Schizosaccharomyces pombe: one gene and its partners. The gene in region 1 interacts genetically with each later gene. Each region holds a gene or a part of one and is shown in the gene's direction. Other genes may lie near its edges.

Region 1 (8,226 bases):
TAACAAGTTTTATAGAATACAAATGACAGTAATAATACTTTATAGATCACGAAATAGTAGTGCAATAATGCTCAGCTGAAAATCCAAGTGCATCGCTTAACCAAAGGATATGGAAGAGCGATACAATCAACATTAACAAACGCGTTTGGATACACAATTCTGTTTGATTTTACCTCACTGTGTATAAAATTAGTATATCAAATATTTATAATTGGACATAGAAGTTATCTTAAACATCGAAACGTTTAGACCATCATTTAAATTCACCATTTCCAATGAGCTCAACTACTTAAGGAGAAAATACAGTCATGTTGCAACGAAAGAAAAAAAGTTTCATTTAGATCAATATGTTTTTTGAAAAACACAGAAAGCTCACTCGTAGTCACAAGACCGATATGTTACTTTTAGCTTGGTATCTCGTTTTGTTCGTTTTTTACTTTTTAGAAAGGCAGGTATGGAACAGCAGAAGAATAAATAAATATATATTCTATTAGGTAACAACAAAATAGCAATTTTTAGACTTCTAATAATGTAGAATATTTGTAAACGAAGCTAATTTGGGAATGAAGAATGAGAATTTCAATTCAAATATCGCACTCCTGAGAATTACAATGAAACTTACTTGAAAGATTGTTAAAGCCAAAAGGTTAAAGCAACAAACCTAATATGAAAGAAGGAAACCGAAATTGAGAAAAAACTATTTTTATTTAAGTTAAAAAGAGAAGAGAGACAAATAAACCAATTTTTCAAAAGGCTTAGCAATATGAATTTGTATACTAAATGCAAAGTTATTGGTAAAAAAAAAATAGAAATATTGCTAAAAAAAGATAATCTAAGTGAATAATTTCATTAATTATTTTAATAAAAGAAGGTTTTATAATTAAAGCTTGGGATAATCTTTAAAAAAAAAAAAAAAAAAAAATTTAATCAGTTAACCTTAATCTTAATTTTTTTATTTTTTTGACTTTATTATATTAGTCAATTTTATTTTTCATAACTTTTTCTCCAATGCTTCAATTTTTTTGTAGTTATTAAAATTGGGTAAAATACATAAAAATAATCAGTTCAATCAACGACTTAGCATACAGCCTTTTTCCCTTTATGTTTAATTCGTAGGCTTTTTTAGTTTTCTTCGTTGTTATATCTTTAATCATTCCTTTTAACTATTGTTACTTTTTCAAGAATTTAAAGCTTCTTTTGTTTTTTACGTATCTGTAATGATCAAAATCAATTTGTCATTGTCAATCCTGACTTTTACAGCTTTACTTTTTTTCTTTTACTATCAACCAAAGGCAGCCCTCTCTCTTCGTTCTACATTGCTCAAAATTTTCACCATTAGTGTACTCTTCATATTTCTATCTTCTACGGTGGATATACATTAGTTTTTATCATCACGTTTAAATTGCAGAAAATAGAGCCCGACTGTAGGCAAGCTCTTAATTCAAATTTTTTCAGGCAATAATTTCTGTTCTCAACTGACGGGAAATGTATAATCATTACGAATTCGAACATCTGCAACTGAGCTCATTGATGCAAGAGGACATAAACAGTAAAATTTATATAGTTCTTCTGTAAATTTTCAAGTAATAAAAAAAGCTTTCTTTAATCATTTTATTTAATATCGATTGCTATTGTTCGCAGATCATATAACACAGCAGCCACTGAGTCTACTATCCAAGGGATTCTGTGTTGTATGCGATATCAATTGGTCTGAAATTCTCAAAAGGATTTCATTAGTTTAAAGCATTAGATCCATGTTTAATGCACATCTCTTCATTAGAAGTACGAGCTTGGCGGCTAAGCTATTGCATTTCTGAATTTCATAACGTACCTTGATAGAGCAATATTAGAGTACCTTACCACAAAGATTGTTCATTACTGCCACTAAATGTTTGAGTTTGAAATTTATCAATCAAAAATTTTGACTAACCAACCTATTTTTATACAAAACTTACCTTGACGGTAATGCTTGAATTTTGTTACTAAAATGAACGACTAAACCACTTATGAACAAGTTGAACATATCGATCTGTTTTGTAAATTATTTATACTGCGTAACAAGTTATGCTAAAACATCACGGATGAGTATTTTTAAAGCTGACGCATCAAAACGATTATAGTAAATCCGCCCATGTCAAAACGTTACTTGGAAATAAAAAGGTTATAAAAGAACACTGAAGTTAATTTTGCACTTGCCTAGCCGTACATATTGTACCATATATCTTTAACAAAAATAAATTTGTGTACGGCTTAGTATATTATGTGTTGAATAACGACAATACTTTCCATGCAGTTTTTTCGCTTTACTCTTTGCGGCATCTCATAAATAACCAAATTATGTTAAATCATACATGTAAGAAAGCTTGACAGATAAAAATAAACATAGACAAAAAGAAGCAAGAGATAATACAATACATCTCAAGTTTATTGCTCAGCTTGGTAACGTTAGGTAACGTGCTATAGAATACGTGAATTTATTTAAAACGTTATCTAAATTTTGCTGTGCAATTGAAAAGCGTCATGTAGGCAACATATTCATGAATAGAAGTTGATCAAATTGCTGATTAACAAATTCAAAAATTAGATAAAAAAAAGATTTATACCAATATAGGAATATAGTATGAGTAGATAATTCGTGAGATTAATATTTCTGTAAAAGTTAAGTTTATGTCGCATAATGTCGAGAAGCAGAACGGCAGTATAAAAGCGATACTAAACGGCGATTAGCAGTAAAAGAATATTCAACAATAATGTTAATTTTTTAATCAAGCAAATGAGAAAAAAATGAATCCAAAAATGATTAAATATAAATGCAATTATTAGCACTATCATTTTGAAACAAGTCCAAAACGACGTTGGCTACAATGACAAATATTAGAAACAGCATATTCTTGTTCAATGCTTATAGTTGGTAGTCATGAGTAGAGAATATAAATACAATGCACACGATGTAGATTTGATGTGGGTAAATGAGCAAGTAATTATTGATCGTGGAAATGAAATACGACCTATAAGCCTAAAGCATAATTGATCACTAAAAAGTGCTCTTTTATCTCCAACTTGAAGAAAAAGTAGAACAAATAAAAAGGCATCACAAGCTGCCATACAAAAACTATCAAACTTTGTTCAGCTAAATGTTTTGTGCATAACGATGATTAGGAAATTAGTGTGGAAAAGTTACAACCTTATGTACTGTTTCGGAAAGATACAGTAAAACAAACAATTCAAGAGAGATCTAAAGAGACAATCAGGTTAATGGCCTTTAATAATAAGAAATTACCGCGATGTACAACTTAAGCAGGTGTGACAAAAAGTACAAATGTACGTTCGAGCAATTAAAACTACTATTGACATATCATAAAATAATGTCAAATGTTGCAAAAAATAACAAACAAATTTGTTTTCTCGAGGTCAAGCGAAAAGATATTTACATGTATGAAAGTCGAATAATTGTGATAATAGCGAGGATTTATGAACAAAGACTACTCGAAAATACAAAACTTATTTCTCCCTAGTATATGAAGATCAAAATAACTTAAGCTAGTTGAAATGCATGCAATGTGTTAAACGTGGAATCATGAATTCGCTATGCATTTTATTGGCGTTTTCTTTTTCGTGTATCCGCGCTAGTACACTAGATTACGTTGCCTCTCACCATACATCGAATGTCCCTACTATCATCCTCCTACTTATATTTATAATCAATACGTGATCATCAGATCATTCCCTTACACGCTCCCATTTCAGATTATGCATCGTAATACTAACAAACTATTTTGTATAAGCGAAGTAATTAACTCCATTCGATGATGAGCGATCAGCTTCTGGTATTATTGTTCGCATACATATCTTGTAACATTTGTTACTCAATAGAAATTTAAGGTAACATTGATCATAAAGTAAAAGCTTGCCGTACTAAATTGTATCCGCCTAACGTTTGCGAATTTTGCAGCAAGCATTGTTTCGTATTTAAGATCACTTTTGTAGACAGATCTTGAGATAACGCGACAAATTTTGGGGCTTTTAAAGTTCGGAATTCTTTCTTCCGGATCAGAGATGTGTAGTGCGCCAGAGTAATATATGATTTAATATTCTTCCGTGTAGTACACTTTTCCATGCGAACTTCAATTTTTACAGCTTTTGTTTGAACTTTTTTTATTTTCTGCAATGTATGTCAACTATATTGGACTCTTTGCTTTCGTTCAAATTTCGTTGACGTTAGCTTATCCTCCCGGTCGTGTGGAGATTTCTGAAATATATGATTTTGAAGAATCTAGTTCGTATAAAGGACAAGATATTGATACATCCGTACTTTACACTTTGTCTAAAAGGAAACCTGCGCTCGTAAAACGAAGTACCGACGCTTCGTATGCCCCTTTCAATGTGACCTGTTCAAACGACAATCTGTTGAGGCCGGCTTCTGAAGGTTTAAATGAGGGCGAACAGAGCTATATCAACAAACGTATTTCTAAGGTTAACAGTGAACTCCGATCATTTATTTCTAAGACAGGTTTGAATGTTGACTTGGATAAGGTGGTTAACAGCTCGGATGGTCCACGTTTAGGAATTGCATTCTCAGGTGGTGGGTTACGGGCGATGGTTAATGGAGGTGGTGCATTCAATGCTTTTGACTCAAGATTCGAGAGTGACTCTCCACTTTCTGGTCTGCTGCAATCCGCGATGTATATCAGCGGTCTTTCTGGTGGTTCATGGCTTGTTGGATCAGTGGCTATTAATAATTTTACGAATATAACATACTTACGTGATAATGTCTGGAATTTGGAACATAGCGTTTTTGCTCCTCATGGGGATAATGTCATTGAAAATTTGAATTATTATAATGACTTGCGCAAAGAAATTGATCAAAAGAAACATGCGGGCTTTGACTGTTCTTTGACGGATTTATGGGGACGTGCTTTGTCCCGTAAACTTGTTGATGCTGAAAGGGGAGGACCAGGCATTACATATTCCAGTATGAGAAATCAAAGCTGGTTTCAAAATGCTGATTATCCTTATCCCATCATCGTTGCGGATAGCCGATTAGAAGAAGAAACGGCCATCCCTGCCAATACCAGTATCTTTGAGTTCACGGCGTATGAATTTGGTACATGGGACAATGGAATTAAAGCATTCATTCCAATGGAATATGTGGGAACTCACTTGTTGGATGGGGTTCCACCCGATAAGTCTTGCATTCATAACTATGATAATGCAGGTTTTGTTATGGGCACTTCAGCTACTTTATTCAACTCTTTTCTTCTTGACTGGAATGAAAATGTCAAAAAGAATGATACCTATTACGATATTCTTCATGCGATTCTTGAAGATCTTTCTAAGCATCAAGATGATATTGCTCCTTATCCCAATCCTTACCAAAATTATACTACTTCCAATACCTCTGTAGTGAATGCGTTCGAACCGTATGATACTATTGATCTAGTTGATGGTGGTGAGGATAGGGAAAACATTCCCCTTTGGCCTTTGTTACACCCACAACGATTTGTGGACGTTGTATTTGCGATTGATTCGACTTATAATGATCCTTATGGTTGGCCCCTTGGATCTTCCATTGTTGCTACATATGAGAGAGTTGTAACCTTTAATGCGAACAAGAGTGTTGATGTGCGTGGATTTCCATATATTCCGGACGAAAACACTATTATCTCTTTGGGACTAAACACTCGTCCTACGTTTTTTGGATGTGACGGTAAAAATACTACAGCAGGAAATCATGATGTAGACAATAATACCCCACCTCTCCTTGTATACTTTCCAAATTACCCTTGGACTTATTATTCCAATATATCGACATTTACTATGAGCATGGACGACAAGATGGCTAATGGAATTCTTGAGAATGCATTTATGTCGACTACGCAAAACAATAATGAATCTTTTGCAGTTTGCTTAGCATGCGCTATAATTCAACGCTCTTTGGAACGCAAGAAATTGAGTACTCCTACCCAGTGCTCTTCTTGTTTCCAAGAATACTGTTGGGACGGAACTCTTGCAACTAGTACGGCTTCTGTATATGATCCTACCGTAATGTCTGCTGCGACAACATCTCGTGCACCGTCAGGCACAACCTCGGGTACAGCCTCTAGTACAACATCTTCATCTGTATGTTCTCAAAAATTCACGTTGATTAAACTATTTTTTTTTTCATCGCTAACTTTTGTTCTAGGTAGCATCAGCCACTCCCACTCATAAACATTGGTGGGACTCGATTTTCGAAGCGAAAGAAAATCCGTAAAAAGATTCCATTGATGTTGTTTCAATGGATTCTCAGGCATGTGAGAAATTTAGAATAGATAGATTTACCTTTATTGTACTTGGTTACGAATTCGTTATGAAAGAGAACTAAGGATTTTCCTCATTCGTGAGACTGCTCAGTTAAACCCTTTACGTTTGATGGAGCTATGTAAACGGGTAAATGAATAATTTGTTATCTCTAAACTTTTTTAGATAAATGCAACCGGTCGAATGGATGAACAGGCTTAGTTGGCTCAATCTGAGATCGATGTGCATTCACGTAAAGACACGAAACGAAAGAATGTAAGCATGAAAACGATTAAATACAACATTGCTTTAAATTGATATATACGTACAATTGGGAATCACAAGTTGAATGAAAAATAGTCCAAGATCGTTGTGCTAATGATGAACATTAAATGATAGATTGTTTTAAAAGCTCCCGGTTTTTTAAAAAATAGATAATAATAAAATTGACTACAAACATTTAAAAGTAAGACAGAGACTTGTTAATTCAATATATGAGGAGTCACTACTAAATATTTTACTGTATTTTGAAACTTCCTAAAGGAAGGAAACTAAATAAATGCTGAAAGATTTATCAACAGTTTGGTACAAAAAACAGTAAAAGAGGAATATTCAATTGGTAGAACGAAATCGTTTAAAGACCCATTTGTTTTCGGTGTGTTGCTAAAAATGTAGCATCATCAACTTTGCTTCTCAATGCCATCCATTCAACAACATAATCTCCAGTAGGGTATCGTAGCTCATCACTTTCATCCGTTGCCGCTTGCAATATCACTTCTGCGATTTTTTGCGGTGGTGTAGCTGTTTTCAATTTAGGTAGCAAGTCTTCGTACAACTTTTGTTTCAGATTGTCGTACTCAGCATAATGTTTACCTGCACCCTCTTCAACCCTAAATTCAGTTGCTGTAAAACCAGGTTCTATAATCTTGACTTTTACACCAATGCTTTGCATTTCCCAAGTCAGAGCTTCAGAAATACCTTCGATTGCATACTTGGTACCATAATACAAACATCCAAGTGGGAATGTCATCTTTCCTCCGATCGATGATACGTTTATAATCATTCCATTATGTTGTGAGCGGAAGATAGGAGTTATTGCTTTGATAACCTCCAAAGCGCCAAACACATTTGTATTGAAAATGTTATGAATTTGTTCTTCGGTAGTACTTTCAAGTGGAGAATAGACGGAATAGCCAGCGTTATTTAGTAACACGTCGATTCTACCAAAATGCGAAATTGCTTTTTCCACAGATTTTTTAATCGAAGAAAAGTTATTTACATCTAATTGAGTCACCAGAACATTTTCAAGTCTGCTTAGCACTTTGGCATTCTTGGGTTCACGCATAGTAGCAAAAAATAATGTTTGCAAAATATAAGCTTTTTAAATAGTTTGGTAACTAGTATATTCAATTATCATGCGAATAAGAACACTTGAAAAATAAAAATAAAATAAAAATAAAATTATAAAAAAATTATTTCTTGTTTTCTCTGTTCAGAGGAAAGGAATTATTTAAATTGCTTTACTTTTACATCTTCCACAGAAACGATAGACAGTCGTAAATGCAAAACAATGATGAAAGTGAAATGAATTTTAATTGCCAAAAAAAAAAAATCTACAATTAACAAGACATTGGCTTCCTTATATGAAAGCTATTAAAAGTTTAGTACATTTAAATCGTATAGTCAATATACTTTTTTCAAATTTATAAATTTACGGGTTCATTGTTAACATTCAATATTGCTGCGAACGCACGGGATTATAAAACGAATCCTTATAAACCAACCATGCAATAAATATAAATAGCAAACAAGCTAATTTTAAGTAAAAATAAAACAAAGAAAATTTTGGGAGACAGATAAATATAGTGTTTGCAATCACCTTGTTACCCGTTGTTGCTTTTTTACGAAGCCTAGAGACGAATCAAACAAAGACTTTGGTAAGCATGA
Region 2 (6,687 bases), on another chromosome or scaffold:
TCACAGGAGTGGGCATATTTTGAAATTCTATTTGTTCAATGTCAGAACCAACTGTTGCCTTTGAATGTGATCCTGTTTCTCCATTATGTGTAGGAAGAGTGTCTCCCAATGGCTTAACTTTTATGCCGAAAGCCAAAATTAAAATTTTGTAGAAGCCAATGGCAGATGTATAAAATTTTAACCATAGCCACCGCGATAATTACTACGACCGCTGCTATAACTATACTGATCAATGGTATAGCTTTTACAACAATCTTGGAGCAGTCTATTTTAAATTATTAGTAAAAAAAAGGCATCACTGTAAAGGAAACATACAAATTAAACCAAGCAACAATAAAACAAACAAACAAATGTAAATAGCAATAGGCCCCCAAATTTCACTGTAAAACCGATTTTCATTTATAAAACTTTCATTTATCCAAATTGAAAGAAAATCTTTGACTTCAAAGTTCTTGTCTATTGCGAAAACAATCAAAATACACCAAATAATAAGCAAGGGCCAACGAAGTTTACTGCGGGTAGAAATCCTACCATCAGGATAACAACTATCATGAAATTTAGAAAATTCAGTAAAAAGGTTATTTAAAAAGAACTTTATTTTATCTGTCTTAATGTTTATTTTATCTTTTTGAGGCTTGATGATGTTGGTAAAGAGATTTTGTTTGTTTACCTTTTCAGGCTTACACAATTCAAGTCCCCGCTCCAGGTCCACATTACGAGTATCTCTTACCATAAATAACTCATTGTAACCAGGGGGGGTCAACCTGTTTTTTTTGCGCTTTCTGGATTTGACATTGGAATAAAACCACAGCACTGCAATTTGATAGCTTTAGCACCACTAGTAATGTTTTACAATGTAAAATTAAACAGTGTGGTTTATGGAAGATAATAAGAAAATATAATAAAACATTTTAAAGCCATAAATGAAAGAATTAAAAAAAGATCAAAATTGGTGAATGTTTTACGTTCTGAGATGTTTCATTTATTTGGGAAAAACATTATGATGTGAATATCTTGTAATACTTACAAACTTTTTTTATCGCAATTCCTATATAACGAAGTTGGTTTAGTTTGCATTAATATACGGTTCCCTTCAAAGTCTGTAAATAGTGTTAAGGATACCATAAATTGCAATGAAAATCATGTTCTTATGATTTGTGTGTAAATAATTATGTTGGATTGTTCATCATCACGGTTGCAAGTATACAGGATTATTAACGACACATTGATAATGATAATAATGTATGGTAGTACAATCAAACTCGATCTATAGTATGCTGATTTTATAAAATAATAGTTGAAAACATCGTACGCATACAATAGCTATAAACATGAACAACCTAACTACGTAGCAGCATTATAAAGCATATAGTTAAGTATAGTTGACACGAAAAATCATGTTTAAGGTGTGAGTATTTGCGAAAGTAAATAAAAAGAAATGGAAGACTATAGATTTGTTTGTGTTAAAATTGTAAAAATAAAAATAAAAATAAAAAAAAATCTCGTTGAAAAATTTATATTCGTATGTAATTACAACATCGTTCGCTACCTAAATTTTATTCTCTTGCGAAAAAGTAAAGAATAGGAATCAACGACTAAGTCTATACATCGGACTAACTCTTTTAGATCAATTGTACTGAAAACTTTTGGTTCCGCTTAGCCAGTTCATATTTTCTTTAAATTATGGCTCTGGGATTTGGGAACAAAAGAAAACTGAAAATGAAAGGGAAAAAAGCATGAAGCAATGTTACAAATAAATGTATAAGAAGGAATTCCTGTATTAGAAATTATATTACATTTTCATATAGAAATGATGATTTATGGTCTATTGATGTTTTCATCGTTAGTGCTTCCCATGATAAAAACAAATAAATTGCCATATGTTGAATCCTTCAGATTTTGAGTAAGGCTGAAGATGAAATGTCGCAATAATTCATAACTGTAATACTACATAAAGACTTTGATTATTGAGTTTAACTTTCATACATTTATTGCATTTTTAGCAAATGCAGTAGAACGGGCTTTCAAGAGATACAGAGGAAGAAAAGCGTAAGGGAATTATAAACTGGAATTTGTAAACATCTCTTGGAAATTATATCAATCTTGAATATTGGCTCATCATTAAAAATCATAGTGGAATACTTGGTTGTTATTCGAGTAGTTAGTCAGAAGTTATTGTTTTGATACACATAACCTTACTTGAATAATGTTACAAAAAAGAAAAATTATAATGGAAATAGATGAATCTAAAACAAATTTAATTTTTAAGCGATAAAATTGAAACAAACATTCGTCAACAAACTACTCTAAAATTTCACCTGCTACTAGTTTTACTACGAAAACGTAATATACTAGGGTTTCACAAGGTAAGTCATACATTCTAAATTTCTCCTTCCAGCATTTTGAAAATATCTTCTTTGCTCTAGACTTTGTTAAATACAGATGTAATAATATATGTTAACCACAAACTGCACCTACTTGACATGTGAATGGATGATATCTAAGAGGTGAAATTCAAATCTAAAGTAATGTTATGCAACATCTGTTAATTGTGTTTGTATTTCTTCTTAAAAATAATTACACATTTAACACGAAGCCATGAAAAGCGTTAGAGGTTTCGCCTCTAACTGATTTAAAAAGGAAACCCAAATTTTTTCCCTTCTTAATTTATGTAAAAGTATTGAGAAATACCTAGTTATAAAGATGAAATTTCGAATATTTCAAATTTCATATAAAGAAAGATTTCTTTACAAGAAATGAATGAGTTTTAAGAATATATTCACAACAAAGCATTTGATAAAATTGATTTATTAAGTATGCATTGAAACATTCTAATGAGATTTTTTAAAGGAAACTGCAAAAAAATAGGGCGGTATATATGCAACTCGTTAAAGACGAGTAGTATAAGAATTGCTTCGCTTTCTTCAAAGACTAAATATGGAAAAAGAGTGGGGGATTACTATATTAACAAGTTTTCAGAACAGAAACAGAAACAATTACAACTATCTACAACCGAGAATCTCTTTAATTAATGTTTTCCAGTTCAGTCTGGTTGAAGATTCGTTTTTTGGCTTCTAAGTTAAAATCCAAGTAAATAACTGACGGGTATTTTATTTTAGAATAAATCGATAGGAATCCGAATCGTTTATAATATAATAAACGGGATAAAAGCTACTCATATTGCTAATGATAATCCAGTAGGCATACTACGACTGAAGAAACATAATTTTTTTTCGAATTTTTCCTTATCTAATGGAACCAGTACCATTTCGTGAATTAGCAGATTTTCATTTGTTTGTTTTGGCCTCGTTATTCAAATTCAATAATGTAATGGAAGATTTTCCAAGAATAATAGACGTTGATAACAATGGGTGGGAAACCGCAAATTTTGTTTGAAAATCAGAGGGAAGATCTACACAACAAAAAGAGCAACAAATTTGAGCAGTAGAGAAAAGACCAAAAAAGCGTGTGTTTTCTGAGACAAATGTGTCACAACTCGCCGATAAATTCGCAATCACATAAAAATTGGTATTCGTTATTGACTAGTGGGAAAACCACGTTACCTCAACGATTTGCAGTTGTTACCACTTTTGGTGACATTTCAAAAAGAAAAAGGTGATTTGCAACGTTTGAAATTGCGACGATCATGATCTACGCGAAAATATCTCATTTTATATATGTACGAGTTAATCTATTTTTGTTGCTGAAAAAAGAAAAAAAAAACTATATAAACCGACTAAAATCAAACATTTCTTTACAAACATTCAAAAGATATTTCCATATGATTTTCAAAAACTTAATATCTCTCTTTTTCATTGGGCTCGCTACCGCCATACGCTTCAACCTCACTGATCTTGAGTGTAGTAGACTACGCGGTCCGCATTGTGGTACGTATCTACTGAAAGTAGTAGGAACGAATGCTACATACGTTGGTGAAAAATCATTTATAGGTCTTGATGCTTTGACTGAAAGTAAAGGTGAATTTTTTCAGCGTATGTTGGAACAAGAACCTCGACTTATTCCACGTTTGTTTACGATAGCTGAAAACGACACGGCCAACTTTACTCCCTTGACATTTACAACGTATTTGAAAACATGCAATCCTCAAAGTATTGAAAATGCAATGATCCCTTTTGTGAATACTGTTACCAGTGAAATTTCTTTTGATGCATGGGCGTATACAGCACAAAATTCAAGTCGGATAACGGGTCTTAGCAACCAACTGATGAATTCTACTCTATATAATGTTCAAGTAGCAACATGTACTCCCGGATTCTCTGCGTTATTGTTAGATAGTCCTACAATCAATGTTTTTAATAACGAGGAAGGCATGCCAAGTTGGTGTCAGCCCATTGAACTTATACCAGTTTGTCCTTTGGATGAGGGATTCAACTGATATATATATAATCGTTATTTAAATCGTGGGATTTAAAAATAGGGGTTAAATTTATCCTCTAAAAACATTTAATTAGAAACGCTTAAGCAATAAAAGTCTTTATACTAGATAAAATATTGTAAATTGTTTTTTTTATTTTTTTTTTTTATTTTAAACTTATACTAAACATATTTTCTAACAAATAACGGAATTCATAAGTATTTTGATTTTGTTTATGTGTTTTTCGCTTTTTATTGTGTTTTAATGGTAAGGAAAAGTTATAGCATACTTCATTTTACTAGTGAAAAAAGCATAACAGGAAATCTTTTAAGTTAGCGACAAACAGTTACTCGGCTTCCAAGCGGTTGCAAATCATTCGTAGTAGATCGACAATCTTGGAATGAGTCTATCAAACAAATCCGCGCTAGGCAGTACGCTAAAATGAACAGCAACACATTTGATTTTACCGAGTATTGAGTATTCTCATCGTCGTTATAACCATTAACGGATTTGTACGTTTTGTTTATCTTCACAGAGCCAAGAGATCAAAGAAGGACTGAGGTGCGTTAAGTACGGTCCAACATGTAATTATGTTCTTTGTCACAAATTAGAGCCACAGATCCTAAAAGTCTAAAATACGAGACAAGGTATGATTTTTCAAACTGTCCCTAGAATAAGAGTTGATCAGCCAAAATTATTGTGCAAGATGAAGCTGTAAGGCTAACTAAAGACTAATGATTCTATAAATAGAAAACATAAAACATAATGCTGAATAAAATGTTATAAGCTACTGAGCTCAAGTCGCTTTTAAGGTTTATAATAGTTTCATTGAATCAAGTTTCTCATAACGAAATAGCGTATTGCTTCATAAATAAAATTTTTTGTTAATACCGGTGTTTTTTAATCAGCTCGGCACGTTCCAAGTACTCTGAAAATGTGTGTGAAAATCCTCACTTTGATCAGTTAAATCAACTAGTATTTTGAGGGGTCAAATGGTCGTAGATTTCTAATTTGTTTTCCATACTTGAATAAGATTGGAAGACTACAGCCACAAGCTAATAAAATAAAGGCAAGTAAAGTACACCCCCATCCGTAGTTCAGTCGACGAAATAGACTTTCAGCAAATAATGGAAAGATGGCTCCTAATAATAGTTGAAATATTTTTACACCCGCTGACGCACTGGCTGAGTAAATTCCATATGAATCTACCACATACATGTTTAAGGGATTGGAAGTCATAATGTACCCACCACCCATAATGGCTGATCCAATTGTTGGCACAAACCAAAAAATCTTATATCTTGCAGTCCAACCGAAAAGTAAAATTCCTATTTCAAAAAGTGTGATTCCAATAAAACCCATAGGAAGTCGAAATTCAGGTTCACCTTCACCACCATTTCGCTTTACCAGATATGAATAAAACTTTTGGTTGATAGGCATGGCAATGAAAACTGCTGAAAAAAGTCCAAGGGTAAGCAGGACTTTTCTTCTTTAATGTCTTCAATCTTCCAATAGTTTATAAAGAAAGCTTTTTGACATTGTTTCTTTTTAAAGCGAGGGAATACCTTTTATGGCCCTGCCACCGTCTATAACGTGATTTGTTTGTTTCGCTAAACGCTCTTAGGAAAACGGAGCTATCAGAGTGACATATATGACTTAACGAAGCTGTGTGTGGCTCATGATCACTATTTAGAATTGAATGAAAACAACCAATGTCAATCACAGTGTCGAAATGCCCCTTGAATTCATTTAATCTTGAAAAATCGCGTTGATTAAAGTTGACATTACTTTTTTCACTAGATGTTTTATCGATTGCTTTAGAAATAGCCCTTTCGGAAATATCAATACCCACGACTTTATATCCAAGACTGGCTAAATATCTAGCATTTCTATTTGGTTCACAACCGGCATCTAATACATTCTCATGTAATTTCCCCAGTTGTACAAGATTCATGATCTATTCGTCTGGTTTCTCATTATCAAATGGTGTTGCGGGATCTTCATACATATTTTCCCAACTATTTTTTACTTCAGAGATATATTTCTTCATTGTTCTTAATGATATATAAAAAATGGTGAAATATTTATTTATTGCCCCATCATGTTTATTTTTATATCCTTCTTTCTCTGTCAGGAAATCTATTTCCGAGCTGACGATAAAAAAACATGTTGCAAGCCGCCGAAACTACCTCGGCTTTTATTACTATGTCCGAAAAGTGCGCGAAATATTGGAATGGCTTGTAAATTATGCATTTAATCAAATAAAGTGATAGTAAGCGCAAAGTGTATGACTCAATGAAAATCGGGTGTAT
Region 3 (7,788 bases), 1.3 Mb from region 1:
TCCCATTCACAACTTCTGGGTCACTTGTTGACTACGTAGACAGTACGGTGTTTTTTCCAATGTTTTCCTTGATCTAACTTTACCTTTTAGGAAAAGTGATTGTTGTTTTACGAGATGGAAAAAAACTGATTGGAATTTTAAGGTCCTTTGATCAATTTGGTATGGTTTGCGTGAATAGGCGCATAAGTGAGTTTACTAACTGTGTAGCAAATTTAATGTTGCAATACACGATTGAGAGGATCTATGTGGATGATATGTACGGGGACATAGACAGAGGTGTGTATATTGTTCGGGGCGAGAACGTCGTGCTTTTAGGTGAATTGGTAAGTTTCGTTTGTAACATAAAATATTCGAGCATCTTTATAAATTTCTTTGAACGTGGGCTAAATATTTCGAAAAGGATTTGGATAAGGAGTATGATGCAGTCAAACAATTGCGACGTATGCCTGCTGAAGAACTGTATCCTTTGGCGAAGCTTCATGAAGAAGAGAAGAAGAAAAATATACGTGAGAAGGGCAAGTACCTTCATTCTGTAGGCTTTAGTGTTGACGGCGGACATGATGATTTGTATTAGACAACGGTTGAACAAATTTATCACAATATTGCTATACCGTTTGTTTACAGTCACGATAGAAAGCTATCTCGACCGCTGTTTATTCCCCTTTTAAATGGATGTAATGTAATTTTTAAGACATGAATCGTCATAATCCCATTACCGTTCGTTCAAAGTTTAGTAATCATTGTGCATCTTTTAAACATGCAGTTTTTATCTTTGTCTTTTTTTTGGGGTCCGTTAATACCAGAGATTCGTCAAAGTTCTGCTTAGAAATTTTGAAAGTAGAGGATACGCGGTCAACCGCTGGGTCAATATCAGATGCTGGCCAAATCCATTCTAGTAAAACCATTACAAGATAATCTATAGCTATGAGTAAACAAAATAGCTTACCAGCCCATTGCCCACATCCGTAATAAAGCTTTAGACGGTCTATTAGTCTAAGATTATTCTCTGAACATATACTGTCGTAAACCTTTTCTGTCCTTTCCGCGACATCTATCCACGAGTACATTTGCTTAACCTCCTCATGGAAAGTTTCGGTTTTGATTTTATGGTCAAGATAATCAGTAATAACACTCGAAAGTGTATCAGCTAAATCATCCTCTTCAGGACGGGCGAATCGTGTCATGTGGGAAGGCAAGACTTCAGGAACACCTCCCACTTTTGTAGAAATCACATAAAGACCACAGCTTGCGGCTTCAACTAAAACAGTGCCGAAAGCTTCGGTCAAACTAGGATGTAAATAAATATGACCCCTGACCATCACATCACGAACTTGATCATGTCTTACAGAACCAAGCATTTCAACGCGATCCTGTAACATATACTTTTCTCGCATTTGTTCCAAATCGATTGACTTGGGTCCGTCGCCAGCAATAACAAATCGTACTTTAGGGTGTTGCGCACAAATTCTGGGTATAACTGCGATTAAAAGATCAATGCCTTTGTTATAGTAAAGCCTTGAGATTACTACTATGGTTACTAAAAATGTTAGATTTTTTCCTTAATAAACGAAAAAACTCACAGAAATCTTTTGAAGCTTTAGATGGGTCTGGCTGAAAGTTTTCCGCTACTAAGGCATTGGGAATCACGGATACTCTTTTTGGATTTAGAACTGCACGAAGCACCGTATTTTCGCGGCTTCTTAGTTAATAATTTAAATACTTGCTCATGAGATACTTACCAAGTGTGAGAGACACAAATAACATGATTTACATCGCTCATCGTAAATTTTAATAACTTATTTGTAACGATGCTGCCAGCATCTGCAAAACCAAACAAAGAGTGGTCGGTAAAACAAGTTTTCAAGCCCATTGTACGAGCATGCAGAATAGCATCATGGCATAGAAAGGATAAACTGCCATGACCGTGGACTATTTCGATATTTTCTCTAATGACTATATTGCGGAAAATTGGAAAAAAGGAAAAAAAGGAAGGAAATGTTGTTTCACGATACACAGTCTGCATTGTTTAGTTTCAACGCTATGCGCGATCAAAATTTCAATTAAAAACTTACATGTAACGGCACGTAGTAAACGGTTAGCCCATTAGTTAAGTATCTGACGCCAACTCGATCCTTATAAGCATGTGTGATAACTAATATAATGCATGTTAGAGCATGTACAAGTTGACATTATCATAAGGCTAAACGCATACCAATTACTTTATGCCCTAAATCAATCAATCTTTGAGAAAGCTGAAAAATATGGCTTTCAATCCCCCCAGGTTGAGGAAAGAAGAAGTCTGATACCATTCTAAGCATACAAAGTTAGCAATCTATTGAACGTTGGGATTTCAATCTAAGAGAAAAGGTGATTTATAGAAGCTTATTGAAGCCAGTATATTATCATAAGAATGTTAAAAAATAAAAAATGCTATAGGCTTCATTTTGTACTAAGAAAATCTCCTTAACAAACAATATTGATTGTGAAAGTTGCATTTCAAAACATACGCGACCCTGTATCCCATTTTAGATGAATTTTAAACTTTTTTATTCATTCAAAGAAATTTTTGGTTTTTTTTAATCTACTTTGGGAGTTGTTTACTCTTCAATGGCATATTATTAGAAATTTGGGTGAGTGTAAGAACAACAAAATTAGTCCCAAATGAAATCAGCCTTTCACAGTCAATTGAGGTACAGAAGTGTTTTGAAAGTTAAATAATAAACATATTAATTTCTATGAAAAGCAATGACTTAAAATCGTGTTCTGACATCAAAGAAGTAAACAGAGTAGGATTTAACAATTCTTTAACGTATAAGAACACCCTAAGTTTACTTTAAATAAGACTTTGAGAGAGGCTGCTTTACGGCAAATTATTCTCACAAATATTTGCCAAGCTATTTAATGTTGAGAAGGAGGAAGTATCGCTTGAAGTGCTTGAGTTGTCAAAATCGTTCTGCAGCCCTTAGTTGCTTTTTTTTTAAAAAAAAAAATAATTCTATAGGTGAAGACAATTGGATGAAACAGTAGTTTACGACAGTTTACAGTATTAAAATCAATCTGCACCAATCTATTCAACAATGATTCAAGACCATTTTCTCCATTTCACATTGAGCATATATCCACTTCTTTTGAAACAGGTAATCCTGTCAAAAAGAAAAACACCTTAAATGTGGTATTTTTTTGATGTGTGAATCTTGTAAACCTGATTACCATAAAGGCGAACACAGACCAAGATGGAGATTGTACGGATATTATTTATTTTCGTGAATTTTACAAATTTGACGCCTAGCTAAGTGTGCTTATGCTGTCCTCCTCAATATGAACTTGTTTGGACTTCTTATTGACCGTAATATCAACGTTGGTTATTCAAATCTTCTTAAAATAGAAGTTACAAATTACACCTATCATATTAATTAAATCTACTTGCTGATGTCGAAAATCAAGCGAAATAGCTGCAAAAGGAAGCTAAATTTGGACGATCAAGTCGAAGTCATTAAGACCACTCCTGATCTGATCAAAAATTGTAGGGATGGTTCTTAAGTTTAAAAAAGTTTTATTTTTTTAAACTAAAACATTCCAGCGCCTTTTTTTAACCTACTATCCCAAGTTGTGGTTGCCGAGGCTTTTCCCCGGACATACCAAACAGAGGTTTTTTCGATGAGTTTGGAAGAGCTATTTAACCTGAACAAGGTTGTTTCACCTAAAACAGAACAATGAAAAATTTGGTTGTTTTTGGTACAGAATCGCATCCCAAGCTTACAGAAAGTATTTGTGAACATCTTTGTCTTGATATAGGCCGGGTTGAACTTTCAAAGTTTAGGTAAGAAAGTACATTTGAGTGTTCGAAGAGTTTGTAGCAATTGGGAGGGTTGGAGTTGCCTATAAATCTTCTATTTATAATGATTTTCTTTAAAAGCTAAAGTCACTACTGAAAGTATGCCGTTTTACCCAACCATGATACGGGTCGATAGCTATCAAAAATTTTAGATAGTCGAGTAGCTTGCCCCTACTGACAGTTTTATACTCGCACTTTCAGTCCATTAATTGTTAATTGGTTTTTACTTTATGTTTAATTCATAATTATTTGATCTTAGTCTCTATTTAGTTAATGTTTTTAGTGACTGATAAAGATTTGGCAGCATCATCTTTGAATGCATACTCTTATTCCATTTTTGATTCCACCTCTTTATCACATCTATCTATGTTTTTCTATTTGATTATATTAACGTGTATTTATTGCAGCAATGGCGAGACTTCGGTGAGAATTAAGCAGTCCGTTCGTGGTTGCGACGTTTATATTGTTAGTCCAGCATCTGGACAGGTAAACGACCATTTAATGGAACTGTTAATTATGATTTCTGCTTGTAAAACAGCATCTGCTAAAAAGGTTACCGCCGTCCTTCCTGTATTCCCATATAGTCGTCAACCTGATCAAAAATTTTCCTTTTCCGGTGCTCCTTTATCTGACTTGCAAGATGCGGTTGTTCCATGCAAAAAGCAAACTGGTTATCACCCATGGATTGCACAATCCGGCACGCTAGTAGCTGATTTGCTTATGTGCTCTGGTGCTGACCATATAATCACAATGGATCTTCATGATCCCCAATTTCAGGGCTTTTTTGACATCCCTGTAGACAATCTTTTTGGCCGACCATTACTTAAACATTACATTTCTCTTAATATCCCGAATTATCATAACGCAGTAATTGTATCTCCCGACGCTGGTGGTGCCAAACGTGCTACTGCTATTGCTGATGCTCTGGGTTTGGACTTTGCTTTAATTCATAAGAATCGCCGACATGAATACGGAACATCTTTGATGCTTGTTGGTGATGTACAAAACAAAGTCGCCATCCTCATCGACGATCTTATTGATACCGCTTACACACTAGTTCGAGCAGCAGAGTTTGTCAAAGAACATGGAGCTAGCAAAATCTATGCTCTCGTCACTCACTGTGTTTTATCAGGAGATGCTATTGAGCGTGTAAAACTTTCTTGCATTGACAAGCTTATTGTTACAAACACCGCTCCTCAAACTATTACACCAAGTGGATGTTTTGACATAATCGATGTCGCTCCTACCTTTGCGGAGGCAATTCGTCGCATACACAATGGTGAGAGTATTTCAATACTGTATGACCACAATCAAGTTTGGGTTTAACTGTACGTTGTTCATATTATTTAATTTGTTTTGATCTAGTTGGCTTAAGACTATCCGATTTTTTTTGATACTATCAATTGTCCTTTTTCTTTACTTTAACTTTAGACAGTTACATTGGAAATAATTATTATTTACTTTGAGTTGACAAAATGATTATCAAGCTAATTTCCTAAAACTAATTTCAACTTAGCTAATCTCTAGTGTAAAACTGCTAAATATAAGGTTCTTCACGACCATTATATATGTACAAGCTATGTAGAAACTATATAGGCAGTCTAATTGCACGATTTCGTCATGTTTCATACAAAAAGCCTAAAATTGTCTGGGTAATGAAGCTTGTAGGTATTTCTATACATTTTAACAGTATGTACGCATACTGGTTAGACGGAAAAAAGATGAACAATAGAAATGGTGATAAATGGAGGAGCGAATCAACAAAACATAACTATATTCAATAATTTTTCAAACGTGGTCGGGAAAGGACGAATGGAAAAAACAAAAGAATGTCAGTATAAAAGAACATGGTTATCACATGATTAAATATAGTAAACAGGCAGAAACGACAGGAATTACAAGGTTATCGTCAAGACCCCACACATCCATAGCTTCTGCAAAGGCACCAATAAATCCATTTATCAAGCAAAGCCAAGGGAAAGGAATTCTGCTTTGAGCGGCCAAGCTGTCAGGACCGGTACGAAACAAGCCCCAGTACACATAGCAACAAAAAACACCACAAACGAATGCGCCCAAACTTCCAGCCAAACTCTTATTTTTGGCAATTTTCGGGGTATACTTGCCCCATTTTCGACCAACGGTTGAGGCAGTAGTGTCACACCATGACAGTAAAAGGACACTCATTACTGCTATCTCCTGAACTTAGTTAGTAACTATGGCATAATATATAAGTAAAAGAAGAAGGAAGGTGAAGTTAGGAAAAGATCAAGCAAGGCAAAGTAGATTTGAGTAATCATGATCAAAAATACTAACTTAAACTCTATGCAACAACAATATGCTTGGTCTGACAAATACTTAGAATAGAAAATCATTCTCCGTGAAAAAATGGGTTCTATAGAGTAGTATGTCCAGTAAAAAACAAAACCCTTCGGATCGCCTGGAACAAGGAAAACCATATCTTCCTTTTTCTTAAAGAATAATAACAGTAATGATAGACATTACAATGACTTTTACTTACCTCTGGAAAAACTTTTAAAACAATCCATACCCCGATCATATAAAAAATAACACCATTCCATGCATTTTTTTCGGACTCTCGCATCAAAGGACCAATAACGCGATTGTAAAGGCGGCTGAAAGCTGGCCAGTTAAAACGAATTACATCTCCAGTAAATGCAGGTATGAATCCAATTTCTATAACCGGTATGATTTGAGCAGCGTGGTATCCACATCCCTGAAGTAATAGAGCAAAAAATCCTAGACCCGGTTAATCCAAGTCATAAAAACAACTTACCAATAGAAGTATGGAGTGCTTTACGGGGAATTTCATGCTTTTTGGACCATTGCGACCACGTCAATTTAGTCGACATTGGATGAGTATTCGCTCAGTAGTGTTTTCCAATCTAAAGGTATTTCTAATGGGTAAAAAAAAAATAGCGATACCGGCCGTGATGCAAGGAATCGGTATATGCGAGGCAAGGAATGTTCTCGCATATAGCTCACTATTTTTTTATCGTTGCACTATTCCTCCTTATTCCGTAAACATTATGAGCTAAAGTCAAAATTAATAGAATGAATGACTTCCTGAGAGTCCCAAAAGAAACCGATTTATTTCCTTCATCAGTTGGAAAAAATTTATTTATTTATCACTGCCAATATAAGAGCTCGACTTCCTAGATGAATAGCATAGCTTTGAAAGTGATTCGCAGGATGACTCAGTATCAAAACGAATGGGTTATACACTATATGGCTTTAGATGTAAATATTCTTTAGATGATATATTAAGAGAATTAATAACTGCATCGACATACAGCCAATGCAGAATCATTTATAAGTCACTGAACCTTCAGAATAGCGCAACGTGGATTTCGCTACTTTACGAAACTTTAGATGCTATTGTGAGCTCTTACGTTTCGCTTTTTGTTGTCAAATATGGGAGAATTAATTGAAAATATAAAGACAATTCTCAAGTACGCGAAAGTTTCTATTAAAAAGTAAAATGATAACTTGAATATGTATGCTAATAAAATTCCTAAAAGAAACTGAAACCATTTTAGAGCTTATATCATTGCCAAGCAATTTTGAAAATTAAATGCGAAAACCATTATTCTTTAGTTGATGAACTAGAAGTAATAATTTTTATTTAATAATAATAAGTCTGCTCAAAATCAGGTTTATTTTCAGTTATTGGTTAATTGTTCAAATTGAAGTTTTATTAAAAAAAAAAAAAAAAAAAAAAAAAAAAACTATTATAATTTATGTTAAGACTACGTAAGTTCCTTAGGGTACGCGATTTGGTCTAGCAATTTAAATAAATAATAATAATATCAATATAAAAAAACTAGAAGACTTAAAAGCTTTTATGTTCACACGTGCATCGAAAATTGATTAAGGAATTCAACACATTAAATATATAATATAATAATAACAAGGTCTATGATTTAAAAAAAAAG
Region 4 (9,068 bases), on another chromosome or scaffold:
TTAGGGAAGAGAAAGAGCTCGCACAGCAAAGATTTAAAGAAATTTGCAAGCATGCGAAAATTGTTGATACACACAATGACTTCCCTTACCTGCTGAGAGTTCAATTACGAAATAAGCTGCAGCTGGCGGAGTTTGATTTTGAGAACGGTTTAACTAGTCACACGGATCTTGTAAAAATGAGACAAGGTCAAGTCGGAGTTCAATTTTTTAGCTGCTTCATTGAATGCAAAAATCCGAATTACCTGTACCAAGACTTTGATACACCTACTACTGTGGTGCGCGATACACTAGAACAGATTGACGTTACTCGCAGATTGGTTTGCAAATACAATAATGATTTGAAGTTTGTCGATTGTGCAGACGATGCCATAGCAGCGTTTCGAAATAATGGGAAAATTGCAATTGCTTTGGGAGTTGAAGGTTTGCACCAGGTGGATACTTCTCTGGCTGTATTAAGACAATATTACTCACTTGGTGTGAGATATATAACTTTGACTCATAATTGTGATAACCCATTTGCTACGGCAGCTAGTTCCATTACTGGGGGCCTTCCAGACAGAGGTCTTTCAGCGTATGGAATTGAGTGTATTTTTGAAATGAACCGACTCGGTATGATGGTGGATTTATCGCATGTAAGCCACCGCACTATGCATGACGCCCTCGATGTAACCAAAGCTCCCGTAATATTCTCACACTCCTCCGCATACACACTTACAGAGCACGAAAGAAACGTCCGAGACGATGTATTGGAAAGGCTGAAAACGAATGGTGGTGTCGTACAAGTCAACTTTTATCAAGATTTCATTCGTAAGCCTGGAAGCGACCGTGCAACAATCGATGATGCTGCAGATCATATCTTACATATCATAAAGGTAGCCGGTTGGGAGCATGTCGGTTTAGGATCCGATTTCGATGGAATTCCCCAAGGCCCCAAGGGATTGGAAGACGTCTCTAAATATCCCGATTTGATCTGTAAAATAATTGAAAGGACGAATGCCACAAACGAACAAATTGAAGGATTAATGGGTTTAAATGTGCTCCGGGTTTGGAAAAAGACCGAGTTAGTGGCATTGCAACTATCTAAAAAATTGGAGCCCATTGAATCAAGTTGGTCTGGAAGAAAGTGGGAGTTTTACAGCTATGCTAAAGAGTTTCCAGAGCTATTTCCAGACGCCTATAAACTGAATGAAAAGAGTACTGTTTGGAATTATGATCAGCCTTTGAACATTGAGAAATAATATCATAAGGATCGTTGACTTTTTAAGAAGGTGAAGTAACCAGCTTTCATTTCGAGGTTACAAAAAATAAGTCATCAGAGAGTTTTTAGCAGCATGTCCTTCTTTCATACCCAATAACATGTTTCATTCTACTGATTTTTAACCTATGAATTATCCCAAGGAAGATCACAAGGACCGATTGCAATTTCGGTTAAGTTCGTATCCACATTGTGTAGTTTCGACAAGTAAATATGAACTTACAAAAGTTTTTCTATTAATCAGTATAGTTATAGTAGAGATACGTTGAATAAAATTATGTGTTTTATAAATCAATGGAATAAGCAAGCAATCAGACCCACATAAAGAAGCACTTTGCTACATGAAAATCGCGCTAAGGAATCAGCAATAAGACAATTAGAGAAATATGAAATAAAGAAAAAGAAGCATGCGAGAATTTGATATGTTGATGCAATTTATCAATCTACTACTTTGTAAGCAATGAAGCAATGATTTGTTCGAAAGTCACAGAGATTCAAAGTACTGAACCATACATGATTTTGTCAATAAGCTAACAGGGCATAAGGCCCACAATCTATCTTTAAACAATAAAATTAAAAAAATAAAATAGCAATAATAAGAGAAGGAGCCTACAGCACCCCGGATTCCCATGTTGTCTCCAACCATAGTACTAACGAGGCCCTCAGACGCTTAACTGCAGTGATCGGACGGGAACTGGTGTTTTCGCCTAGGTATGGCCGTAGACAATGTTTTTCAACAATAGTAAATTATATGGTAATTTTATGAAAAATTTTATGATTAACTGTTAATGAAAAGAAAAAGTAAAATAATGAAGACGACATTTTGTCAGTGTAGACTTTTGAGCATGAAATTTGTGAATGATCAAATTCGATTAATTGATAATATTTTTTACTACGTTTTATTTTACCAAAAGTATTTGCAACATCATATCGATTATGAAAAAAATTTTTTTTTAAACAAAGTAAATTAATATATTTGTTCTATTTTCATCTGTTAAAATTTTATTTATTTTTTACAATCTATTCGCATTTTTAATTTAAATTAATTTTATTATTTTTTTTATATCATTTTATTTTATTTTACTTTACTTTTTTACGGTTTTTTTTCCTTGCATGTCTTAAAAAAACGTTTATAACGGTAAATTTGCATACATGCTCAAAAGAGAAAAAGTCGCATATGTCAATAGTCTTATCTTTATAAAGAGTCCAAATTGCATAAAGCCGGACCATATTATAAAAAACAAAGATAGCTAATTGAATCATTTGAACGAACGTATCAAACATGTTCAAAAGGACACCTTAATCACATGACTTGTGCAATAAAATATTAAAACGGATTTTAGATGCGGGATGACTAATTTGATGTGGAGAAAAAAATAAACGATAGATGGTAATTACCAAATAGTTTCTTTTGAGTTGCAGAAACATTGGCAGGTAAGCTAGCTATACCATGCAACAAGGCCTGACTTGGCTTCCCCTTGTATAACATGTTCATTTGTAGTTGCATATTTGCAGATCATTTTTATACATATTCTACTTTTTCACAGACATGGCTAAGGAAGTATGTAAGGAGGAAATGTATGCTAATTTAATTCTCAACAAATCCATCTTGTTGCATTGTCGGCAGTAGAATTTTTGTTTTTAGTTATGAATTACTTTTTGAGTAAGTACATATAAGATGATAGTTTAAGAAGGAAAGTCGATCTACACACGTTTAAAAATTGTTGAAGCGATTCGTGCATCGGTCAATTGTATACTTTAAAGCTTTTCTTTCCTTAGGTCACATCTAGAACTTATTGAACACGATTTCAAGTTGTGAAGAGGAAAACGGATGCGATCCACTTTTACCGGAGCTGGATGATTTTTCCAATCACATTGTTTACATGTCAAAAAGGGAGCACAAGAAGTCGTAAAGCAAGGATCGCATAGAAAATGTAAAGGAAATTAAAAAAAAAGATGAATGAATGAATGAATAATAAATAAATGGAACAAAAAAATGAATGAATAAATTGAATAAATAGATTAAATAACGAGAACAGAAAATAGAATCTTAAAAAAAAAAAAAAAAAGGACAAACAAGGAAACCTTAAGGGTTGCGTATGTTTGTATGTGCTTTTCAGATTCACCCTTTATTCGATTTCTCAGTATTGTTTTCTTTGCCTGGCTGGCTTACCTTTTCCCGTAGATGCCAGCCATCTTGGTAAATGTACATCCCCCACATAGACCCATGTCCCCCAGTCGACTGCAAACATGAACCACTTTGCTACTAGCTAAAAGGAACTGACTACAACTTTGAAAAAGTTCCTATGTGGGGGTGAGGGGGGAAAGAAAAATGCGGAGGAAGTGTTTCGGGAATACCGTGTTTCTGCCGAAGTCTTTGCCGGTCGTGGACCGGGTGTCCGAGGAATTCCCTCATGACAACGAAGCCGAGGGTGTCGCAAATGGGATAGCGAGAGAAAAAGAGAGAGAGCAGCTGAAAGGAAATAGCGATGAGAGACGAGGAAGAGAGAGAAGAACTGAGTAATGCGATAGAGGAGGAAAAGAGAGGTGTGTTATAGCACCACACAATTTTGAAATGTAAAATAAAATCAAAGACATGATGAATCAATCATCTTTGTGATAAATCAATTCAAACAATCAATGGTGCTTTTGTGCATAGTCAATCGTCCATTGACTATTCAACTCATTGACCTATTCAACCCATGACAAACATAGTGTCGACCTTAGCCTTTTCTCATCCCATTTTATTTTTCATCCTACATCTTTACGTCTACAATTTACGCATCCCTTCATCACCAACCCAATCCTTCCTACACCTATCTCCATCTTACAAATCTTACTCATTCATTTGATAGCTAGAGCCATCATCCTGTATATAGACTCAAAAAGAATGGAATGGGCCTTGTCTTTTCCATCTTTCTCCATGATACGAATTTACGGACTAGTGTGCTTGTCACTTTCCACTCGCTAATCTCTAGCACGTGGAATGCAACCGCACAGGGAAACGAGGATGTAAAGCACCAAGCAAAAGCAATGCAGTGGAATACGAAAACGGTGTGTGTAACGACATAAAAAAAATCTCATTCTTATCAGTAATGATTAGATAGTGTCTTGTTCTTTGTCTTTGTTTTTGCTTCTTGACTTGCCCGATATACTTGTATTAAAAATATACTCCATAGTACCGGATTTTACGCATTGCTGGGATGTAATAAATGTGTGATATTATTATTTTGTTACTGCAGTGAAATTGGGTTGGTTCGTAAATTGAGGTATAAGCTTGTTAAACAAAATGGAAGAGAGACTGATAATCGTAGTAAATGAACCAATAAATGGAAATGTATTTGACCCAGAAAATCAAATGATTTCAGCAAAGAGAGATTGGAGGCAAAAAGAAGAAAAAGAAAAAAGAAAATGGCCAACCGAGAAGAAGAAGAAAATTTTTTTAGCGGAAGAGAGAAAACATTTTGAGAAATTTAACGAGGAACGAGTAAAAGAGTAAAGAGAAAATAAATAACAAAAGAATATATAATGAAAGAATTAATAATCAAAACATTTACAATTTAACTCTAAAATTACCATTTACCTCTTTTTCTTTTTCTTCTTCTACTATACTTCTATCCACTTTACTCATCTCTTCTCTTGCCTTTTTTTTTTTTCTCTCTCTCTCTCTTTCTTTTCTCTTTTCTCCTTTCTCTTTTTGCTGCCCTACTCCCGCTGCCCTGCCGACGTCCTTTACCCTGTTTTTCCTCTTCTTCCTCTTTTCCTCGTTTTGCTCCCGGAAAAACGATAAGCTTTTCTAACGTGTTTCCTTCCCCTAACCTGCAATCTTCACATTTGCATCGGCAAGGTAGCAGGGGCGGTAGTTACGTTGGACTGGGGTGGCTAGATTCATCTTTAAAATAGTAGGGTCAGGATGATTGTACCATAGAATTGTTTTTTGTCCTCTACTCTTATCTAAGATTTGAAGGCATATCTATTGCAAAAGCAAAAGTATCTGAAACTTCGATGACTGCGTATTTTTTCATATAAAACGATATTGACCGGCATTGTTGAGTTGCGAATTGCGTTTGGAAAACCAGCGGAAAAAAAAGTAGGACATAGCAAATTGATTGCTTAGCTTTTGTAATAAGAAGGGATCAGGGCTGTTGTTGTTTTCTTGGTTTAGAAAAAAACAGAATCAAAAATAATAAAGCAAAAAAGAATATTTTGTTCTTTTTCCTCCACTCCCCATTTTATTTCACCCAACGGACTTTGTGTGAGAGCGATTATCGGTTCGTCTGTTATTCAAGACATACTTTGTATTATTTGGGTCTTTCTGTTGCTTGTGTGAGTGTATCTGTGTGCGTGGGTTTTTTTGTGTGTGTGTGTGTATCTTTTGTGGTGTGTATAATTAGTTATCGTTTTCAATTTGTTTAATTTTACTCTTCTTCTTTTAATTTGGCAATCCACTTTTTCTTTGGGCCATTCATTTCTATACTATACTAAATACCCTATACCCTCTACTTTATAATTTTAGTATTCTTTCCTTGGATTCAATTATTGCTTTTCACTTTAAAAAAAAAAAACAAGAGTCGATAAGCATTTCATTCCCATTTTCTTCATCATTGATTAGTTTTATTTTATTTATAAATTCTCTATACTGTCTTGATCCCCTTTTTTATCTGCTTTGGATTTACCTATTTTGAACTCGTTCCCTACAAACTTTTACATAGCAAGTTAATTCTTCCTGCTGTGTTTATAAGACATATAGATTTTTATACATATATTATATTTCTGTTCCTTTTCTTTTTTCTTCTTCTTCTTCCTAATTCCCCTCCCATTTTTGCTTCTGCGTCGATTGTTACTGCGTACGTTGCAGCATACTCTTCATTTTCTTCTAGCTGTCTTTTCTTATTCTATTTTTTTATTTTTTGATACACGATGTCAATTCTTAATGTCATCCGCTCCCATCACGACGTGGAACCACAGAATGTTGAAGAGGAGCCTCCATTGACCGGGCAAACTATCGTTACCGAAGACAAACTAGAGACTTCTGCCAAAGACAAGAAACATGAGTCACCTAGTATGTCGGAGGATGAAGAGGGCTCGGTGGAAAATGTTGATGCTTGGGATCTCACAAAGGCTCTTATGTCCATTGATCCCAACCATCCCGCTCATCCTCATAAATGGCCCTTGTGGAAAAAGTTGTTTGTTGCTACCGTTTACACATTTTTAGAGGTATATGTCATTTGGTCATCCACCGCCTGTATCAACTTCTTTGATATTTATCAAACTAATTGGCATTGCAGTATTCAAGTCTCCTATCTTGTACAAAGTCTTTTCATTGTCGGTAATGCTTTTGGTCCCATGCTTTTAGGTCCCATGTCGGATATTTTTGGTCGTAAATGGGTTTATGTTGGCTCTCTAATTCTTTATATTATTTTCCAAATTCCCCAAGCCCTTGCTTATAACTTACCCATGATGGCAATCAACAGTGCTATTGCTGGTGCCTTTGGTAGTTCTGCTCTCGCTAACGTTGCAAGTAGTATGTGTGATATCTTCACTCCTGAAACCGTCGGTTTTGGTATCTCTCTATTTGTTTGGGGTGCAAATGCAGGTGCCTCTATTGGGTCCCCCATTGGTGAGGCTCTTTATGATCATTGGCGTTGGTTTTACTGGATGAATATGATTGTTGGTGGTTTCTTTGTAATTCTTTGCGTATTGTGTCCTGAGACCTTACCTGTCATCAACATCATGAACTATTCTTCTACTACTGGAGAAAAAACCGTTCAAGTCTCTACTCTTGCCAAAGCTAAATCAGCTGTAGTTCGTACAAAATTTGTCTTATCCACCGCTTTTAAACTTTTGTGTACAGAGCCTATCATTATGGCTTTGGGTTTGTATAACGGCTTTGCGTATGGTTTGATTTTCCTTTACTTGGATGGACTGTTTCCCGTATTTGTCGACAACTACAAAATGGGATACATGGGTGCAAATCTCACTTATTTGAACTTTTTGGTTGGTGTCACCATCGTTGTTATGCTTCAACCCATTCAAAATTGGCTTTATCGTTGGGATAAAAGGCGTCATGGAGGTGTAGCGCGTCCAGAAGCACGTTTCTTGATTTCTCTGCTTACCGTTTGGTTTTTCCCAGCAGGCTTGTTTTGGTTCGCTTTTACTTCAGATGGCCGAATTTCTTGGGTAAGTCCTTTAATTGCAGGTGGTGTTTTAGGTGTTGGTGATCCTCAACTTTGGCTTGCCATGATTAACTATATTACTGATTCCTACCCATCGGTTGCTGGCTCCGCCATCGCTGCTTTCACTTTACCAAGTTTTGCTATTGCTGCTGTTCTTGTACATCTTGGTATTATCATGTTTGACAATATGACTACCACTTGGGCCATGGCAACTTTGGCTTTTATTAGTTTGTCGCTTGTGGCCACGATTTATGTTATTTACTTCTTTGGTCATCTCATTCGGAAACACAGTCGACTTGCCGTTACTCAACAAGCATTACAAGAAGCACATGATGCCAAGGTTTTACCTGAAGTGTAGTGTTTATTCCATCATTTCTCCCTTTTATCATTCATGTTAGCATATGTAAAAGTTGTTATGTTCGTATTGATATACACTCATCCAACTTTCCTTTTACTGTGAACACCCGATTATGTATGTACCCCTTCTTTTTTGGCAATATGCATCTACTTCTTTTTGTCGATAATTCGCTATTCTTTTCTACCTTTTTTGTACTAGTTATTGTTTACTAATTGAAATCTGTCCTACTACAGCTATTGCAGTTGAAATTACAGTCGTCTTAAAAAATATAGCTTAAAAAGTTACGTTTATTAAAAAGCTGCCTTATAGCACTCGTAATTTTTAGTCGCACAGTAGTTTATACTTGCAAAATAGCAATGTTTAATAGATTATGTAGTATTATATTCCTAATCGGCTAATGATGACTGGAAATGCGAGTTTCAATCCCCATGTATTCTGGACGACCGAAACAGCATTGATGGTTTTAGCGTAGACCGACTGTGTAGATGTATTAACTTCAGACACTGAGCTGACCTCTTCTGCTCTACATTGTCTTTCCAGAACGGCGATCATAATCGATGTCAACCGATTCATCGACAATTCCCGAATTCCAAGTAGCAATAGATAGCATGTCGTTTCTTTGAACATGTAGTTGGAAAAATTAACACAATTTATAAATTACATACATATAGTCAAAACACAACCTGCGTCTCTTTTTTAACATACAATATGTCCAGCACTGAACTTTCAGAAAAGGATTTAGCTTATCTACGAGAGGCCATCAAAGTTTCTCAGCAAGCTCGTGATGAAGGTCAACATCCATTTGGATGCATTATTGTTGATGAAAATGACAATGTTATTATGTCTGCGGGAAATCGAGTTCCAGACGGGGATGTAACTCAACATGCTGAGACCCGTGCCGTAGGTTTGATTACGAAGACAAGAAGAGACCTTGAGAAGTGTACTCTGTATACCAGCACGGAGCCTTGTGCCATGTGTTCTGGTGCTATATTTTGGTCTGGTATTCGCCGAATGATTTTTGGCTTATCGAACGAAAATTTGATTAAACTGACACAGAAAAGTGGTGAGTGCCCGCCTTTATACATTAATTCACGAGATATTCTTGGAGCTGCCTCTCATCCTATTGAGGTGGTGGGTCCCTACATTGAAGATGAAGCTATTATCCCTCATAAAGGCTTTTGGGATGGAGGAAGATAGCTGCTTCAATCTCATATGTTAATGTCAAAAGCATATTCCTTGAAACTTTGCTAATACGTCCACACGTTTTATCGTTTCTGCT

Evidence for each region.
Region 2: mutations in SPOM_SPBC1348.10C (region 1) and SPOM_SPAC977.05C together harm fitness more than expected from each alone (negative genetic interaction), as found in Schizosaccharomyces pombe (one large-scale study listed by BioGRID).
Region 3: mutations in SPOM_SPBC1348.10C (region 1) and prs5 together harm fitness more than expected from each alone (negative genetic interaction), as found in Schizosaccharomyces pombe (one large-scale study listed by BioGRID).
Region 4: mutations in SPOM_SPBC1348.10C (region 1) and SPOM_SPCC965.13 together harm fitness more than expected from each alone (negative genetic interaction), as found in Schizosaccharomyces pombe (one large-scale study listed by BioGRID).

What each region holds. Positions count from the first base shown.
Region 1 is NC_003423.3:24,314-32,539, reverse strand, and holds SPOM_SPBC1348.10C (phospholipase), read left to right. Parts: upstream 1-4,167; coding exon 4,168-6,120; intron 6,121-6,184; coding exon 6,185-6,253; 3' UTR 6,254-6,385; downstream 6,386-8,226. Other genes in the region: SPOM_SPBC1348.09 (dehydrogenase), read right to left, coding at 6,914-7,624. UniProt on the Schizosaccharomyces pombe protein: Catalyzes the release of fatty acids from lysophospholipids.
Region 2 is NC_003424.3:33,477-40,163, reverse strand, and holds SPOM_SPAC977.05C (Vel1p domain-containing protein), read left to right. Parts: upstream 1-3,781; coding exon 3,782-4,396; downstream 4,397-6,687. Other genes in the region: SPOM_SPAC977.06 (uncharacterized protein), read right to left, coding at 114-265, 316-733; SPOM_SPAC977.04 (uncharacterized protein), read right to left, coding at 5,348-5,815; SPOM_SPAC977.03 (methyltransferase), read right to left, coding at 5,892-6,329.
Region 3 is NC_003423.3:1,277,275-1,285,062, reverse strand, and holds prs5 (ribose-phosphate pyrophosphokinase Prs5), read left to right. Parts: upstream 1-3,683; 5' UTR 3,684-3,713; coding exon 3,714-3,820; exon of another isoform or gene 3,821-3,870; intron 3,871-4,160; exon of another isoform or gene 4,161-4,242; coding exon 4,243-5,161; 3' UTR 5,162-5,311; downstream 5,312-7,788. Other genes in the region: mRNA-decapping complex subunit Lsm1, read left to right, coding at 1-42, 91-159, 208-323, 401-574; pig-A family phosphatidylinositol N-acetylglucosaminyltransferase subunit Gpi3, read right to left, coding at 738-1,537, 1,581-1,696, 1,740-2,017, 2,073-2,152, 2,213-2,309; phosphatidate cytidylyltransferase Ptp4, read right to left, coding at 5,690-6,031, 6,354-6,592, 6,630-6,705.
Region 4 is NC_003421.2:2,306,305-2,315,372, forward strand, and holds SPOM_SPCC965.13 (pyridoxal family membrane transporter), read left to right. Parts: upstream 1-5,194; 5' UTR 5,195-6,175; coding exon 6,176-7,789; 3' UTR 7,790-8,096; downstream 8,097-9,068. Other genes in the region: dpe2 (dipeptidyl peptidase), read left to right, coding at 1-1,238; SPOM_SPCC965.14C (cytosine deaminase), read left to right, coding at 8,498-8,986.